4 linked regions of the Mus musculus genome follow. The protein of the gene in region 1 purifies or fractionates together with the protein of each later gene. This does not show direct contact. Links are inferred from orthologs where the notes say so. Each region holds a gene or a part of one and is shown in the gene's direction. Other genes may lie near its edges.

Region 1 (4,106 bases):
TTTTATCGAGGGTTGTAACAACACTATTCCACCCACTTTGTTTATTCGTTTGGTTTTGGACACCATGCTCAGCCTTTAACCAGGGGCTAGAATCTAACTCAGGCCCTTACACTTTACCAACTGTGGGCTCCACTCTATAATAATAATAATAATAACAATAATAAGGGCCTGGAGAGATGGCTCAACGGTTAGGAGCACTGACCACATGGTAGCTCACAACCATCTGTAATGGGATCCAGCGCCCTCTTCTGGTGTGTCTGAAGACAGCAACAGTGTGCGCATATAAAATAACTACTAAAATAATTTTGACAATTTGATTCTACATAGTTTAAAGCTTAACATTATTGCATTATTACAATGTCAGTTTACCCGACATGGTGGCCTGCACCTGGAATCTCAATACTGGAGAAGTGGAGGCATGGGAATCAAGGCCAACATAAGCTCTGGGCTAACCAAGGCTATGTAAGAAAGACCTATCCCAGAAACAACACGAAGAAGCCATAAGCCTGTGATCCCAGCACTCAGGAGGCTGAGGCAGGAGGATGAAGAGTTCTAGGTCACTCTGGGCTACATACAGAGACTAAATCTCAAGCACAAGTCCTTGCAACTAGACGCACTGTTCTAAATGCATAGTTGGGCAGGCCTTAACCAGTGTCTCCTTTTGGGGAACTACAGGCACCCGCGAGTATCCATGAACGGAAGTAAATTCCTCAGACAAGGGATTTGTCAAGTGATGTCAGCTTCCCATTTCAGATCTAGACAAGGCTAAGTTCCCCAGCGCGGGTAAACACAGTCGCTAAGAGGTCAAAACAGACACATACCAGCAGTAAGTTTTTCTGTATGTCAGCAACTCAGGGAACTTGGCTAACTGTACCTGGGAGGGGTCTGGAGGGAAAGGCGCTGGCTACATGGCTGTGCACGCCCACCATGGCACCTGGCTGACCAGGATAGAGGATGGAGGATCGAATGTCCTCTCAGCCTCCTCCCCATGAATCCCCTCACATTCTCGCTCCGGGTCCTCTCCTTTTCACAATCCTCTGGCAGTCCCACCGCCTCCGCCCACGCTGGGTAGAAGTCTCAAGAGGGTCGTGCTCCCCTGGAGGGCTGGCCGGCCTCGCGGCGTCTGCTGACCGGTGGGTGCGGCGGTGGCGAGCCGCGCTGGGGCGAGCAGAGCTGCGGAGGGGTAGGAGGGGGCCGGACCCTTGGCCAGGGTCCCAAGGGGCGGTGCCGGGCGCGAACCGTCCCAGGTCCCTCCCAGGCGGGAGCAGCACAGGCGGTGCCCGGGTAGCGGCGGAGCCATGGACGGCAGCGGGCCTTTCAGCTGCCCCATCTGCCTGGAACCGCTCCGGGAGCCGGTGACACTACCCTGCGGCCACAACTTCTGCCTCGCTTGCCTGGGCGCTCTCTGGCCGCACCGGAGCGCGGGCGGCACCGGTGGTTCCGGAGGTCCAGCTCGCTGTCCACTTTGTCAGGAGCCTTTCCCCGACGGCCTGCAGCTCCGCAAGAACCACACGCTGTCCGAGTTGCTGCAGCTCCGCCAGGGCTCGGTCCCGGGACCCATGTCCGCCCCGGCTTCAGGATCGACCCGGGGCGCCACGCCCGAGCCCTCCGCGCCCAGCGCACCACCTCCGGCTCCGGAACCATCGGCTCCCTGCGCGCCGGAGCAGTGGCCCGCGGGTGAGGAGCCGGTGCGCTGCGACGCGTGCCCCGAGGGCGCCGCCCTGCCCGCCGCGCTCTCTTGCCTCTCCTGCCTCGCCTCCTTCTGCTCCGCGCATCTGGCCCCCCACGAACGCAGCCCCGCCCTGCGCGGCCACCGCCTGGTGCCCCCGCTGCGCCGACTTGAGGAGAGCCTGTGTCCGCGCCACCTGCGGCCTCTGGAGCGCTACTGTCGCGTGGAGCGTGTGTGCCTTTGCGAGGCCTGTGCCACTCAGGACCATCGCGGCCACGAGCTCGTGCCGCTGGAGCAGGAGCGCGCGCTTCAGGAGGTGGGGCACCTTGAGTCGACACGTGGAGATGGGTGACAGGAGGGACACTAGAGCTATTTAGTCCCTCACTCTTATCCGGGTGTGTCTGTTATATATTTGTTTTATCATTATGGCTGTGCACATGGAGATGAAGGAAGCAACTTTGTGGGGTTGGTTCTCTCCTCCTGCCTTTACATGGGCTTCATCTCTCTGACTCAATAGGCTCTGCCTTAGTTTCCTCCTCTAGCCTGAGAATCTTTGCAACCTCTTCCGGTCTACACTGTCATTTGCTGGGGCTGGTGTGGATGGAAAGAGAGTCGGGAGGGACTAGTAAGATGAAAGAGTGGCAAAAAGCCGAGAGAGAGAGAGAGAGAGAGAGAGAGAGAGAGAGAGAGAGAGAGAGAGAGCGCTTTAGCTAGATTAGTGTAAGTGTAAAGCGAGAGAGGGATCCGCATTAGGCCCTCAGAAGCCGTGGGGGTCAGGAGTCGCTGGGTGCGGGCGGGGCCCCGTAGCTGATGCCCTCTTCAATTCAGATTCGTCCTGAATTGAGTCAGCCACTTTGTATGGGTGTGGCGGGCACCAGGAGAGCGACGGAGTTTGGGCTGGTCACACAGATCTCCTCTGTCCGAATGCTCTGGGGCCGTGGGGAGCATGTGCCCAGTGTCCCGCTACCTCCCACCCCCAGTTTCCTTTGGCCTCCATCCCGGTCTTGGCGCCTCTGGCTTTGGGATTTTCCGCCTCTCCTGCCTGGAGCTGTGACTCATTAGAGCCGAGGGATTTGCCCGGAATCCCCATTTTTCAGAGCTGGATTGGGGGTGAAGGCTCTTTTGAGACTAATCCCCAGGACTATTTAGTGTCCTCTTTTCTGGTTCCGTCACGTCACACCCTACCCCACCCTCTCACACTTTGCCTCTTCCCCAGGGGGAAAACAATCCCAAATAGAGAATCATAGGTGGCCCTATACTGGCTTCTCTGGTCAACAGGTTGTCATATGCCCACAACCTGCTTCCTTGCCAGGCATTTGGAAATGGCACCAGCTTGGGCCAGAGCTGCCTTGGGGATATTCTGGGACTTCACGGCCATTTCCGTTCCCTTCATTCACAAATGTCACTACCTAGCCCCCCAAATTCTGAGATCTGATGCAGTTCCGGGGACCTTTGACAGACACCAATCTCACAAAACCTGGTCCACAGGTGGAGCAGTCCAAAGTCCTGAGCGCTGCGGAGGACCGCATGGATGAACTGGGTGCCGGCATCGCACAGTCCCGCCGTACTGTGGCCCTCATCAAGGTCCGCGCCCACCCCAATCCCCCTGTGCACCCCTGAAGCAGGCCTCTGAAATCACCACAAGCTCTCACTGTGGTGCCGCCCACTCTAGACGTGCTCGTCCCCACTAAGCAGGAACACCTTGTTTCCTGCAACCTGGCTCAGACCCAGAGCAGGCTGGGGCTGGGTGGGGGCTGGGTGGGCACAAGCAGTCAGGGACGGAGACAGCGGGCAGGCCCGGTCTTTGCCCTCACTGTTGTCTCCTCTGCTCTCTCCTGCAGAGTGCAGCTGTGGCAGAGCGGGAGAGGGTGAGCCAGATGTTTGCCGAGGCCACAGCCACCCTTCAGAGTTTCCAGAACGAGGTGATGGGGTTCATCGAAGAGGGAGAGGCCACAATGTTGGGCCGGTCCCAGGGTGACCTGCGTAGACAAGAGGAACAGCGCAGCCGCCTAAGCAAGGCACGGCACAACCTCGGTCAGGTTCCAGAGGCGGATTCAGTCAGCTTTCTCCAGGTGAGGGCGGCTCAGGAGCCATAATTGAAGAGATGGGGCGGGGTTGAGAAACAATGGCAGCCAGGATGGGTACCTGGCCTTCCAGGATAGTTGCTACCTTCCCTGGTGGCGAGACACTGTGGCCAGCAGACTTACTGGGCATTTGTCTGGCACAGGAGCTCCTGGCACTACGGCTGGCCCTGGAGGAGGGGTGCGGCCCCGGGCCTGGGCCCCCCAGGGAACTCAGCTTCACCAAGTCCTCCCAGGTGGTCAAAGCGGTGAGAGACACCCTCATCTCAGCCTGTGCCAGCCAGTGGGAGCAGCTGCGGGGGCTGGGCAGCAATGAGGATGGGCTACAGAAACTCGGCTCAGAAGGTGGGTGCTCC
Region 2 (3,564 bases), on another chromosome or scaffold:
TGTCTTTCCTTAGAGCCTCTCTCCCAGCACCCTTGGGAAAGGAGAGTCTAGAGGCGTTTTCTTACCAAGCCTGCTGACCCCTGCACCATGGCCCCATGCTGCCCCTCAGGTGAGCGGGCACCAGTTTCCTGTGCTGAGGAGAAAGGGAGAAAAGAGGGTGTTGGTGAAGGCCACTTCCCCCAGTCAGGGTTTTCAGATGGGCAGTGCTAGAACGGCCTTGCCTCTGGCCAAAGCCCACAGTGCCAACCTCAAGACTGCTTGATGTCCCTGTGTGGGGCGTGGTGCTTCATCTGTCGGAATGCTGCTGCCCATGAGGGACTTGATTGAAAGGCTGTGGATCAGACCACGTATTGGGGATCCTGTGGCTAGTTGAATTTAAGTTGTGTATCTTGTTTCTGCTAAATCTGAAGGTTGCTTCTAGCTTTCTCCTTTAAGGGAAATGCCATTGCCTCTGGGATCCCAGAAACCTGCCTAACATCTTTGTTGAATCTCTTGCATTCCTTCTTGGTATTGCTGTATAGATATCTGTAGCTAAAATAATAGAGTTATCCATCCACCAGAAAAAAAATCCTTGAGTATTTATTAAAGATAAAACAAATTGAAAAAGAGAATCCCTTAGGATATTAAGCACTAAAATAATTGTGAAAGCCTGAAAAACCAACTGTTTCAGCTAAAACAAAGACAAGAAAGATATATGTTAAGTAATAAAAATAGTACTTGTTTGAAAATGTAAATTGTTTTTAATAAAATTGCTTCTTAGGGGGATAAGAGGAACTGCTTAAGCACAGGACGAATGTTGTAATACATCGCAGCTCTGCACCCGGGGTTGATTGGCTTGGCTGCTAAGAATTATGGGTGTCGAGTGCACAGTAGACACACGCCGCACGTTTGTTGCGTATAATTGTGTACAGGAATTACAGCACATATGCAGATACTAATTATGAAAAAGTGTCTGTATACATTAAATTTAAAGCCTAATCACATAGTAGTTTACTATAGACAAAACAATTCGCCAGCTGGCGTAGAATGGAGTGAACCTTTATTTGAAGGGGGTAAGAGAAAAAAAGCTTAGCGTTAGCCTAGTTGCAAACACTAGGAATGTGCGTCTGTCTGTCTGTCTGTCTGTCTGTGTGTCTGTGTGAGGGAGAGAGAATTGAAACTGTCTGAGAGAACATACTTTCATACATTCTGCACACCTCTTGGGAAAAGCCACTGCTGTGCTCCCCTCCATGGGACAGCCACAGAAAGCAGCATAGCCAGGTTTCCCCCGTGGAGAATGCAGTATGGCCAGGCACAGTGCTTCCCCAATGCCTGGGTAGCTCAACTGCCCAAAGATGTCTCAGGAATCCTTGCTAAGAGGGATTCTTCTTTTAAGTCTGTTAATGAATGACAGACATCATGATGAGCTTGCCTGGCCACCTTTGGTACATATCCCTTTCCAGAGAGTGTGTTGCTCACGTTTTTTCCAGTTGTTTTTCTCCTCCCCAGATTGGTGGTAAATGGGCACAGTAGCCCTGCGAGCTGCATAGCTTCCTAGCTGCCCAGCCCTGAGCTCAAATTTGTATGTATTTATTTAATAAAGGCTGTGGGCTGTTTAGCTGGCCTGCTCTTTCTCGGTGTGTCTTTCTCCCCTACTCCAGCCCCACCCCCACCCCCAGACACTGCACAGGCTTGGCAAGCACCCACTCTTACTCCTGCGGGCTCCTCCGAGCAGCTCTGACTGTCTGCTTGTCTCTTTGCAGCAGCAGCAACAGCAGCAGCAGCAACAGCAGCAGCAGCAGCAGCCACCGCCGCCACCGCCGCAGCCACAGCCACAGCCCCAGGCAGGCCCCAGACTCCCCCCACGGCAGCCCACCGTGGCCTCCTCCGCGGAGTCCGATGAGGAAAACCGGCAGAAGACCAGGCCACGAACCAAAATTTCCGTGGAAGCCCTGGGGATCCTTCAGAGTTTCATCCAAGATGTGGGCCTGTACCCAGATGAAGAGGCTATCCAGACTCTGTCTGCACAGCTGGACCTCCCGAAGTACACCATCATCAAGTTCTTTCAGAACCAGCGGTACTACCTTAAGCACCATGGCAAGCTGAAGGACAACTCCGGCTTGGAGGTGGATGTGGCCGAGTACAAAGATGAGGAGTTGCTTAAGGATTTGGAAGAGAGCGTCCAGGATAAAAACGCCAACACCCTTTTCTCAGTGAAACTAGAGGAAGAGCTGTCGGTGGAAGGGAGCACAGACGTTAATGCCGACTTGAAAGACTGAGAGAACAGTATTCTTTTCAGCCACACCACCGGTATTTCCTAACAACATGAGAAGTCCACCTTGTGTTCACTCAGACAAACCTTCATTGTTTATTGTTTGGCCAATGAATCTTCGGAAACTTGCACAAACAGGAAGGAAGTTGGAAGGACAGGACAGCCAGCACTCAAGGTTTTACTGTGTTTTACAAAACTGCTTGGCAGCCCCGGGTGAAGCGTCAAGGACTGTTTGGTAGAATTTGTGTTCAAGGGCTGCACCCAGGTGTTGTACCCTGTCAGCATGATACCAGAAATTGGTTTTCCTTTTGATTATTATTATTCTGGAGCCTCAAATAAGCATTATAACTTCTGTGGTTATGATTGCCTTTTCTTTAGTAATTCTTCTGTAACCCGCCACACTAGTCTTTGGAAACTGGCCCCTTATTTTAAAGAGAAAAAGAAAAAAAAAAAGAGAGAGAGAGAGTTTGTTACTCGATTGTATGTTAAAAAAAAGAACTATAGACTGTGGAATGCAGTTTAAAGATGACATATGCCAACAAATGCCTTGTATTGTATGGCACTGCCGTAATTAAAATTTGTTTTTTTATTTTGGAAATAAAAGTTCACTGTAATTTTTTTCATCCTCATTATTACATGATTTTTTTTTTAAGGAAAAGAAAATGTGAAACACAATTTAGTCCTTGTTATTTATTTGTAGCTCCTGCAGCATCATGTCATAATTAAGTTTTTTGGAGATTTCTGTTAAATGTAATGTTGCTTTCCCATCCTGATTTCCTTTCTATTTATAACTGTATTTTGATGGGCAGTAAAACAAAGTGTCTTAAAAGTTTTAAATAGAGAAAAATGTGCTTTACACAGTTGCCTATAAAAAGTCTATGTTATCCAAGCAATTCACTCTAGAAGCTTCGGTCTCGTTGTTGTATGCAATTTTTACTATCATGCAAATAAGCTTAGGTAAATAAAACTAATAGATCACCTTAGAAAATTATGCAATTAATGTGAAAATAATTGATGTTTGCAATGTGTCTTCCTTTGGTTTACAATCAATTTTAAAGCGACATCTGTATAAAGTTTCTGTATAAAGGTGTATTTCTTTTTTATGAGTTTATGGCTATGAAAACACCAGCTATTTTGTTACAGCTGCTGTTTTTATAAGTGTATCACAGTTTTCTTTATGCAGAAATGTGCTGATTAGGAGTGGTTATTGACTGTAAGTACACGATTAAAATTGTTTGTATGGTATGACATGGCAGGGTTTGTCTGCTTATGTGAAGTAACTTGAGCCAGGCTCAAGGACGGCTGTCATGTAG
Region 3 (3,564 bases), on another chromosome or scaffold:
ATTAGGAGGGTACAGTGGAAACGCGTACATAGATAAGCTGGTTGAGCCCCTTTATATAAAAGATAAGGAGGCTGAAGCCTGAGAAGGTTCTGTGGACTTAAGAGTCAAGAGTCAAGGCCTACCTCTGTTACTTTTGTACTCTTCAGTCTTAAATTGCTCAACCTCTTCTAGAAGGCTGTATAATATAGATATCTATATTATATAGATATTTGTGTGTATATGTGTGTACTCTGGACTGATAGATGATAAATCCATAGTCAAAACATGCTTGTAACTTGCCTGGAGGACTCGGCACTCTCTTCTAAGTGGGTCCTTGACTTTGGCCCATTGTCTCTGCCATGCTGTTCTACTTTGCCAGTGCTGTTCCATGACTCACTACTGGAAAACAGACTTTATGTATCCGTAAAACCTTAATTCCGCCAAAAGGAAAGTTGATGTAGCATCCAGCCTGTGAGGTTTCAAAGGGCAGCAGAGTGACAGCCTGCTAGTGTGCCTTGGGGACCTGAGCAACAGCAAGGTGCAATAGCAGAGAGCAAAGTGCATGAAGAACAAGGTGCATGCAGACTTTGTCGCACTCAGTGTATGGCCCAGCAGCCTTTCACTAGGTTCCCTGGAGAGTGCTGTAGAGTTAAGTGACAGACACTAGCTAAATAAAAACCTGGTGAATTGTTAAATTTGGATAGTAATAAGTTACTGAAATTATACTTTTTTTCTATGCCATTTCAGAATAGTGCAGTATCTTAGCATTTGCCATATTTACAACTTTCCTCATAAGAGTCTGTCTTTGAAATTAAAATTTGTTTAATATATATAAGATCAGTTTTTCCATATAGCTAAATAAAATATTAAAAGCAAAGACAGTGTAAGGCTATCAGTTCTGGCACAGCGACTTGAATAATTTAGAGTCACTTTCTAAATTTATTTTTTATTATACAAGATATATAATATAGATTATAAATGTATAAAGTTTGGGTCGGGCATGGTGGCACACAGCTTTTAATCTCAGCACAAGGCAGAAGTAGGCGGATCTCTGAGTTTGAGGCCAGACTGGTATACAGAGTGAGTTCCAGGACAAGCAAATCTCTGTTAAAACTTGATCTAGTTTCCTTTTGAGTGGGTATTTGTACTTCAGAACATGCTTTAAGCCAATACCAGTGTACATTTGTGAAACTTGTAAAGACCAGCACTTTCGGTCTCTGTCCTGTTTCATGGCGTGTGTGGCTGTATGATACGCATGTGGGTAGGTAGCACAAGTGGCCACCAAAGAATACCTCCACATTGGATGTAACCTGGAACGGATTCCTCTGGGGTGCTGGTGATAGTTAAATGGAGGCACCTGACCTCCCACATACCTGCCTATTCTCCTTACAAATAAACAAAGTAGTTATGATTGGCAAGTTATAAAAATAATCAAGGTTTTAAAAAAATAGAAGGAAAATCAAATACTTTCTTGACCTTTTCTTTCCAGGGAAGTCGAGACAACATGAGTGTGATTTTGATCTGTTTTCCAAGTGCACCCAAAGTCTCGGCAGAGGCGGTGAAGAAGGAGGCGGAGCTGGACAAGTACCTGGAGAGCAGAGTAGAAGGTGGATCATTAACAAAAATAAATAAGTAGCTTTCTTTCAAAACAAAACCTTCCACACAAAGTCTAACCTTTTAGAAAGGTTTTAGTCCATTACATGCCTTTAGCATGTAGTACTAGTGTGGAAAGGACGTTCTGTAGTAACCATTTGTTTAGCTGTGTTCCCTGGGCCCTGTGCACTATGGTTAGGAAACTTCCAAGTGACTGAAGCATGGCTCTAAGATTCTTGCTAAACCCACTGGCATGTGTAATGTCATGCCAGGCAAGCCTGAGTATCCTCCTCTGAAAAGACGTACTGCAAGTCTCTGGAATATTTTTAATTACCTGTGTTTGGTTGGTTGGATTTTGGGTGGTTTTGTTTTGTTGGTTTTGGTTTTGAGAACGTGAAGGTCAAATGTTTAGCAACAACTGTCGGGTCCCACAGCTTTGAAACTCTGCTTTCAGCTGGTTCACGGCTTTCCTCCTGAGCCATGAGCAGTTTGAGCTTACAACACAGACCTGGCAGGAATTCCCAGATGAATCAAGAAAGTAGCTTGCAACCCCAGGAGTGTGAATCTGATGTCTCTGCAGATCACTTTAGAGTAGAACAAATGGAAAGTGTTTGTACCTCAAAAAAAAAAAAAAAAAAAAAGCAATGCATTTAAGTATTTGGAGAAATTAATCTTTTGTTGGTGGGGTTTGGTTACTTGGTTGTGGAACTTGGGACCAAATCTAAGGTTTTTTGCACAGAAGGGAAGTATTTCCCTCTGTGGCACACCTCGGCCCTTACGTGATCTTTGATAATGCTGTTCACCACGCATAAAATAAGCATTGTCTCCCCTGTGCGTACACACAATGCATATGGATCATGTAGGCCCTATAAGCAGAAACACTTCCATGTAAAAAGTGTGTTTGACTCTTCTGATACCATAATTGGCATGCAAGCTTCAATCTGCCATGTCCTTGCATCTCATTGTGTCTTCATTATTAAAATTAGTGTGCATCTTAATTTTATTTTCTCCATTTCAGTTGCTTGATTTCATTTGTAATCTGCCTATTAGCATCATGTTTGGTTTTGGTTGTCAGTGTTTCTAGAGACCGGAGACGGTCTTGTTCTTCTTACCCCCTCCCTCCTTGTATGGTAATGTCTGTGTTTGTACTGTTTAGTATTTCATTCATTGAGTGTACTAGTCAGTGCATTTTTTCTCACTATTTTAAGGTTCTTGTAACTTTTTATATCTTAAGTAATTTCAATATGTTATTTGTAGATAAAACAGTAAAGTTAAAAATACTTAGAATGTTACAGGGTGAGTGGTCTAAATTGCTGATCGGTAGAAAAATATGCAGCCAAAAAATATGTATAGGGTTAAGTTCCTATTGATGTCTTGGCACTTTAACCTGGGCATATGTTTTATTGGTATAAAGAATTAATAAATACCTTAGTATTTTTACTGTGAAGTGATATCCAGTTTTTGGAATGAATTGCTATTTTTCTCTTTAAGCGTGCTTTATTTTAAAGTAAATTTTTGGTGGAATTATCAAACATTCACTACATACATATAACTTTATAAGTTTTATATTTCATACTATCAAGTGAGAGTTGCCATCTGGGCAGAGTTTACATTAGTAGTCAATATTTTTGCTATATTCAAGTGTTTTAACATGCAGTTGGAGGTAATGTCATAAATTAAGATGCAACTAGAGAGAAAATGATGTTCGGTAAAGCTGCTGCTATTTAAAGGCATAGAATGTGACTTTGCACTGTAAATGATGTATGTCTTAAATGAAGATACACAGCTTCTAAAGCAGGCACCAAATACCTTTTTAAATACATGCCTTGACTAAGTTGTTGTGGCCCTACTAAGCCTCATTGATTTGCTGTCGACCGTTTTGGCCTGTGTGACTCCACCATTGGGAAGGATAATGCTTCCCTCCTGCTGCTGTGTCCGCCTTCACTGAAGGCTGCTTGTCCTTATGAAGGCGGAGTGCTGCTGTGCTGCGGT
Region 4 (4,086 bases), on another chromosome or scaffold:
CTTTGTACATCAGACAGGGAACACAAACAGGCTAGATGGAAGGCACGCTGCTAGCTCTCCCAGCTTCAGCTCTTGACCTTCTGCAGTCTGTTCCTTCATCATGTAGAACAGAGCAAGTCATAGCTTTCCAGCTTAAAACCCTCCACAGGTTCTTCCAGCACTGTGAATAGAACCCACAAGTGTTTTGCTATGGTTTGTGAGATCTGTCATAATATCATCCTTCTCTCTCTTTTCTCCTTTCTTTCCTGGTGTCTGTGTGGCTGTCGGGTACACATGTGAGCCTTGGGCGCTGTTCCTTGGGCACTGTCTACCTTGTTTTGAGAGATGGTCTCTGATAAGCTTGGTGCTAGCTGATTGCACTAGCCTGGCTGGCTAACCAGTCCCACAGACAAGTCCACTCTGGTTCTTCTCTTGCATCCTTCAGCTTTTTGCTCAAATATTATTTTCCCAGTGAACTTTTCCCTGACACCCCAGTTTACTCTTCCCAGCATTCTCTATTTATCTTTCTCTTTTCATGATTCTCTATGCCAAAGTGGCTCCTGTAGCAAACTGATCCATGGTATGTTTTTGTTTCTTTTTGTTACTTGTCAATCTTACACTCAAGAAGGGCAGGAGTTTGTACTCCTTGGGCTCTGACCTCAAAGAAAGCCGGTGTCCTGGTGCACAGTACCTGCTCAGTAATTAATTGTTCTACAAATCAGCCTATGACTTGTGACAGCTAGAACAGGCACGGGTAAGGACGCTGGCTGCGGAACAGCCTGACTTCAGAGAATAGCTGTTTGTGTCTGCATTAGTTTTCTCTGCGGAAGACACTTAGAAACTAAGGTTCCCAACAGTTCTCCAACTCTAGAAACTGGGAGGAGGCAACAATTAAGGATTCAGAGTGGATGTGGATGGGAGAATCCATTTCCCAGGAGATGGGTCAGAAGAGACAGTGATGGTTCAGGAAGAGCAGTGGGTAGGGATCGAAACCAAGCCACCTCAGGCTCAAGTGCGGCTTTCCCTGAACTAGTTACTCAACCTCCCTGAATTTGCTTAGTATTTTAAGCAGGTGGGTGGGTGGGACGGGGGAAGGGTTATGGGAGGAGGAGTCCATCATGCCTTCCTCTCTGGCAGGTTATAGCGGGCATTGGAGGAGATAACCATGCAGGTAGCCCAGAGGCAAGGTGGGCGGTGGGGCAACAGAGGAGGAAGTAGCGTTGTCAGCTTGGCATCTAGGGGAGGGTGCATGGAACGGAGGGAGGGAGAGGCTAGGAGGACCTTGGCCAGCGGGCAGAATGGCAGTTGGTAGAGGAAGGGAGCAAGGGGGTGTTTCCTGGGACAGGGGGGCGGAGACCTGGAGACTATAGGCTCCCCCAGGACTCAAGTTCATTGAGTTTCTGCAGACACTGAACGGCTTTCAGTCTTCCCGCTGTGACTATCACCTGTGGGCTCCACCTGCCTGCACCTTTAGTCAGCACCTTTAGCCAGCACCTGCGCCAGACCCCAGCAATGGCGAACCATGCGCCCTTCGAAACGGATATCAGCACCCTGACCCGCTTCGTCATGGAGCAGGGCAGGAAGGCTCAGGGCACGGGGGAGTTGACCCAGCTGCTGAATTCGCTCTGCACCGCGATCAAAGCCATCTCGTCTGCGGTGCGCCAGGCGGGCATCGCACAGCTGTGAGTTAGGCCTCTGGCTGCCGCATCTTATCCGTTAGAACGACTGGGGTCTGCTTCTCTGGACCCCTGCTGGGTCCTGATGGGTCTGGTTGCCAGTGTCGCATCTGACAGTTAAGATTCTGCTCTGCTGCACACAGCCCTCGTTCCCTTCTCCTGGTGCACAATTGCCGGATCTCTTCTGGTCTCAACTCTCCTTTTCGCTCCTCCCAGATTCCTGGTATAAGTGAGTGACTTACCAGCTGCCCACCCGGGACTCTCTAAAGTGCCAATACCTGCGCCTTTCTCCCCATTTCTCTTTTAACCTCTGTTACTCTCCTTGGAAATTGAAATCCCAAATTCAGCTTCTAATTCAGTATCATCCCTAACCTAGACAAGCCCCATAAAGAGTATCCCACCACTTATCAGTCTGGAAGGGAGCCGCCACACAGTATTCCGGGCGCTCCCTCTTTCTGGAGCCAGCTGTAGACTCACCTCCTGAGCACCAAAATCTCTCCCTGTTTGCATTAATGCTAGGAGCAGATCTTGCCCAATTATTAAGAGCTTAAAGACAGAGCAGAAGTAGTAGACTGCTTTTGATAAAGCCAAGAATCCAATCTCCTTCCCCTGAACCATCTGGGGACTTTGTTATGCAGACCCTCCTTGAATAAGAAAAGTTCCCTGTGGTAGATGATGGTGATGATGATAAGGGGGAGGAGGAGGAAGAAGATGAAGAAGAAGTTTATGTATTTATTGAGACATGGTCTCACTATGTAGGTCCACTATGTAAGGTTAGGGTTAGAAACAGGTTCTCACGATGTAGCTTCTACTGTCCTGGAACTCACTGTGAGTAGACCAAGTTGGCCTTGAACTCAGGGGTTATCTACCTGCCTCTGCCTCCTGAGTGGGGATTCAAGGCATGGTGGGTGATTTTAATGCTATGGTCCATATTTTGTACTGTAGGTAGGAGCAAATGAAGAAACATGGAGTCTCAGAACACCTTCATTTTTTAAACTACACAACACTTCTGTACTTTGTTCTGGCCTGAGCAACATGTTTGGGACCTAACTGGTTTTCACACAACTGAATGGAACCTGGGTTTTCAGGTTATCGGTATACTTTCTTAACAAATATCATACTTAAAAAAATTTTTTTCCTACGAGCAATGAGAGACTGATATGTGAGATTTGTAGCTAACTTGAACATATAATCCTTTGAAATGGATTTTTAAATGCTCCTCCAACAGTGTGGCCTGTGTTAGCTATGTGTGCATTTATTTCTGAAAAACTCTGGTTCTGCTGTGAGGCTTGGTGGATAATCCTTAAGCGTAAAACACCTGGTGATGTTTACTTTAGATGCCAAGCAAGGCTAAGCCTTACTAGAGAAAGCTAGGGACATGTATATTAGAAGTGATGACTCCCTCACTGTTTCGCTGTGTTCTTAGCCCTAAGGAGCCTTTCAGCCAGCACACTCAGGTAAAAGTCTCACTTCAAATTAAATTTACAGCTCAAGGATTTAGCTCTCTCAGAACCTGGGGGTTTTGTGAGAGACGACAGTTGCCATTTCTTACATTATTCTAAAAATGCACTGGTACTTGCCACAACCCCAGAGAGACCTAGGGTTAGGTTAATCACCCTCAAGATATCTCACTTTTTAACTCACATCTCAGACAATGGTAACGGGGTTAGGGGTAGAAGGTGCTAAGTTTGGAACAGAAGAGAATGTGTACTAATAGACTAGATGGTCACAGCATCAGCTTTGAAAAGGTCGTCCCAGATTCCTTAAGGCCCTGCACCTATTCACAAAAACACCAAGCCATTCAAAGGATAATAAGGAAAACGACCCCCCTGCCCCACCACACACACACACACACACACACACACACACACACACACCAAATTGACTGTTAATTTTTCTTGGTTATTTTCCCAGGCCCGTTTTTTATGCTCACACAAATGTGTACATGAACGTGCATTTACACATTCCTCTGTAGCTAGCAAATAAAATGGGACTATACTTGCCGTGTTTTTCTCCAGCTATATAATGAACATTCTCTGCCACCAGGATGTGACAATCCACCACCTCCTATTAACTTGCTGCAGACATCTCATGAGAAATGGAGCCCTTCTGTAGCTTGAGTGCATTAAGTCCCCACTACTAGGGCTATTACAGTGGTAGAACAGGTGTTGATGCTGGCTGAGGGAAGAAGTTGGATTCTGTGGGACAGGAAGCGTCTGACTATTCACAGGACGATAAGCAGTCAGACCACTAGCAGGCAGATGAGATCTCAAAGACAGAGCTTTCAATTAGGCTCACTTGGGCTTTGATGTGTTGGATGGAGAGCCAGTGTGCCCATAATAAAGAGCTTATTAAGGCTGCCAGTTGGCCTTAGAAGAGCACTCACCCAGAGGGATGGGATGGTTGAAGATCTGCAAGAACCCCACCAAGA

The links.
Region 2: the proteins of Trim47 (region 1) and Satb1 purify together in Homo sapiens (affinity purification with mass spectrometry; 4 studies listed by BioGRID and IntAct, with this or other methods). This does not show direct contact. The link is inferred for Mus musculus from reciprocal best matches to the Homo sapiens genes TRIM47 and SATB1.
Region 3: the proteins of Trim47 (region 1) and Ppm1a purify together in Homo sapiens (affinity purification with western blotting; 3 studies listed by BioGRID, with this or other methods). This does not show direct contact. The link is inferred for Mus musculus from reciprocal best matches to the Homo sapiens genes TRIM47 and PPM1A.
Region 4: the proteins of Trim47 (region 1) and Fbp1 purify together in Homo sapiens (affinity purification with western blotting; 3 studies listed by BioGRID). This does not show direct contact. The link is inferred for Mus musculus from reciprocal best matches to the Homo sapiens genes TRIM47 and FBP1.

Annotation. Positions count from the first base shown.
Region 1 is NC_000077.6:116,107,413-116,111,518, reverse strand, and holds the start of Trim47 (E3 ubiquitin-protein ligase TRIM47), read left to right. Parts: upstream 1-1,283; 5' UTR 1,284-1,298; coding exon 1,299-1,985; intron 1,986-3,157; coding exon 3,158-3,253; intron 3,254-3,510; coding exon 3,511-3,741; intron 3,742-3,896; coding exon 3,897-4,095; intron 4,096-4,106. UniProt on the Homo sapiens protein: E3 ubiquitin-protein ligase that mediates the ubiquitination and proteasomal degradation of CYLD.
Region 2 is NC_000083.6:51,738,592-51,742,155, reverse strand, and holds part of Satb1 (DNA-binding protein SATB1), read left to right. Parts: intron 1-13; coding exon of another isoform or gene 14-109; intron 110-1,742; coding exon 1,743-2,258; 3' UTR 2,259-3,564. UniProt on the Homo sapiens protein: Crucial silencing factor contributing to the initiation of X inactivation mediated by Xist RNA that occurs during embryogenesis and in lymphoma.
Region 3 is NC_000078.6:72,785,204-72,788,767, forward strand, and holds part of Ppm1a (protein phosphatase 1A), read left to right. Parts: intron 1-1,468; coding exon 1,469-1,586; intron 1,587-3,564. UniProt on the Homo sapiens protein: Enzyme with a broad specificity. Negatively regulates TGF-beta signaling through dephosphorylating SMAD2 and SMAD3, resulting in their dissociation from SMAD4, nuclear export of the SMADs and termination of the TGF-beta-mediated signaling.
Region 4 is NC_000079.6:62,885,449-62,889,534, reverse strand, and holds the start of Fbp1 (fructose-1,6-bisphosphatase 1), read left to right. Parts: upstream 1-1,252; 5' UTR 1,253-1,491; coding exon 1,492-1,661; exon of another isoform or gene 1,662-1,884; intron 1,885-4,086. UniProt on the Homo sapiens protein: Catalyzes the hydrolysis of fructose 1,6-bisphosphate to fructose 6-phosphate in the presence of divalent cations, acting as a rate-limiting enzyme in gluconeogenesis. Plays a role in regulating glucose sensing and insulin secretion of pancreatic beta-cells.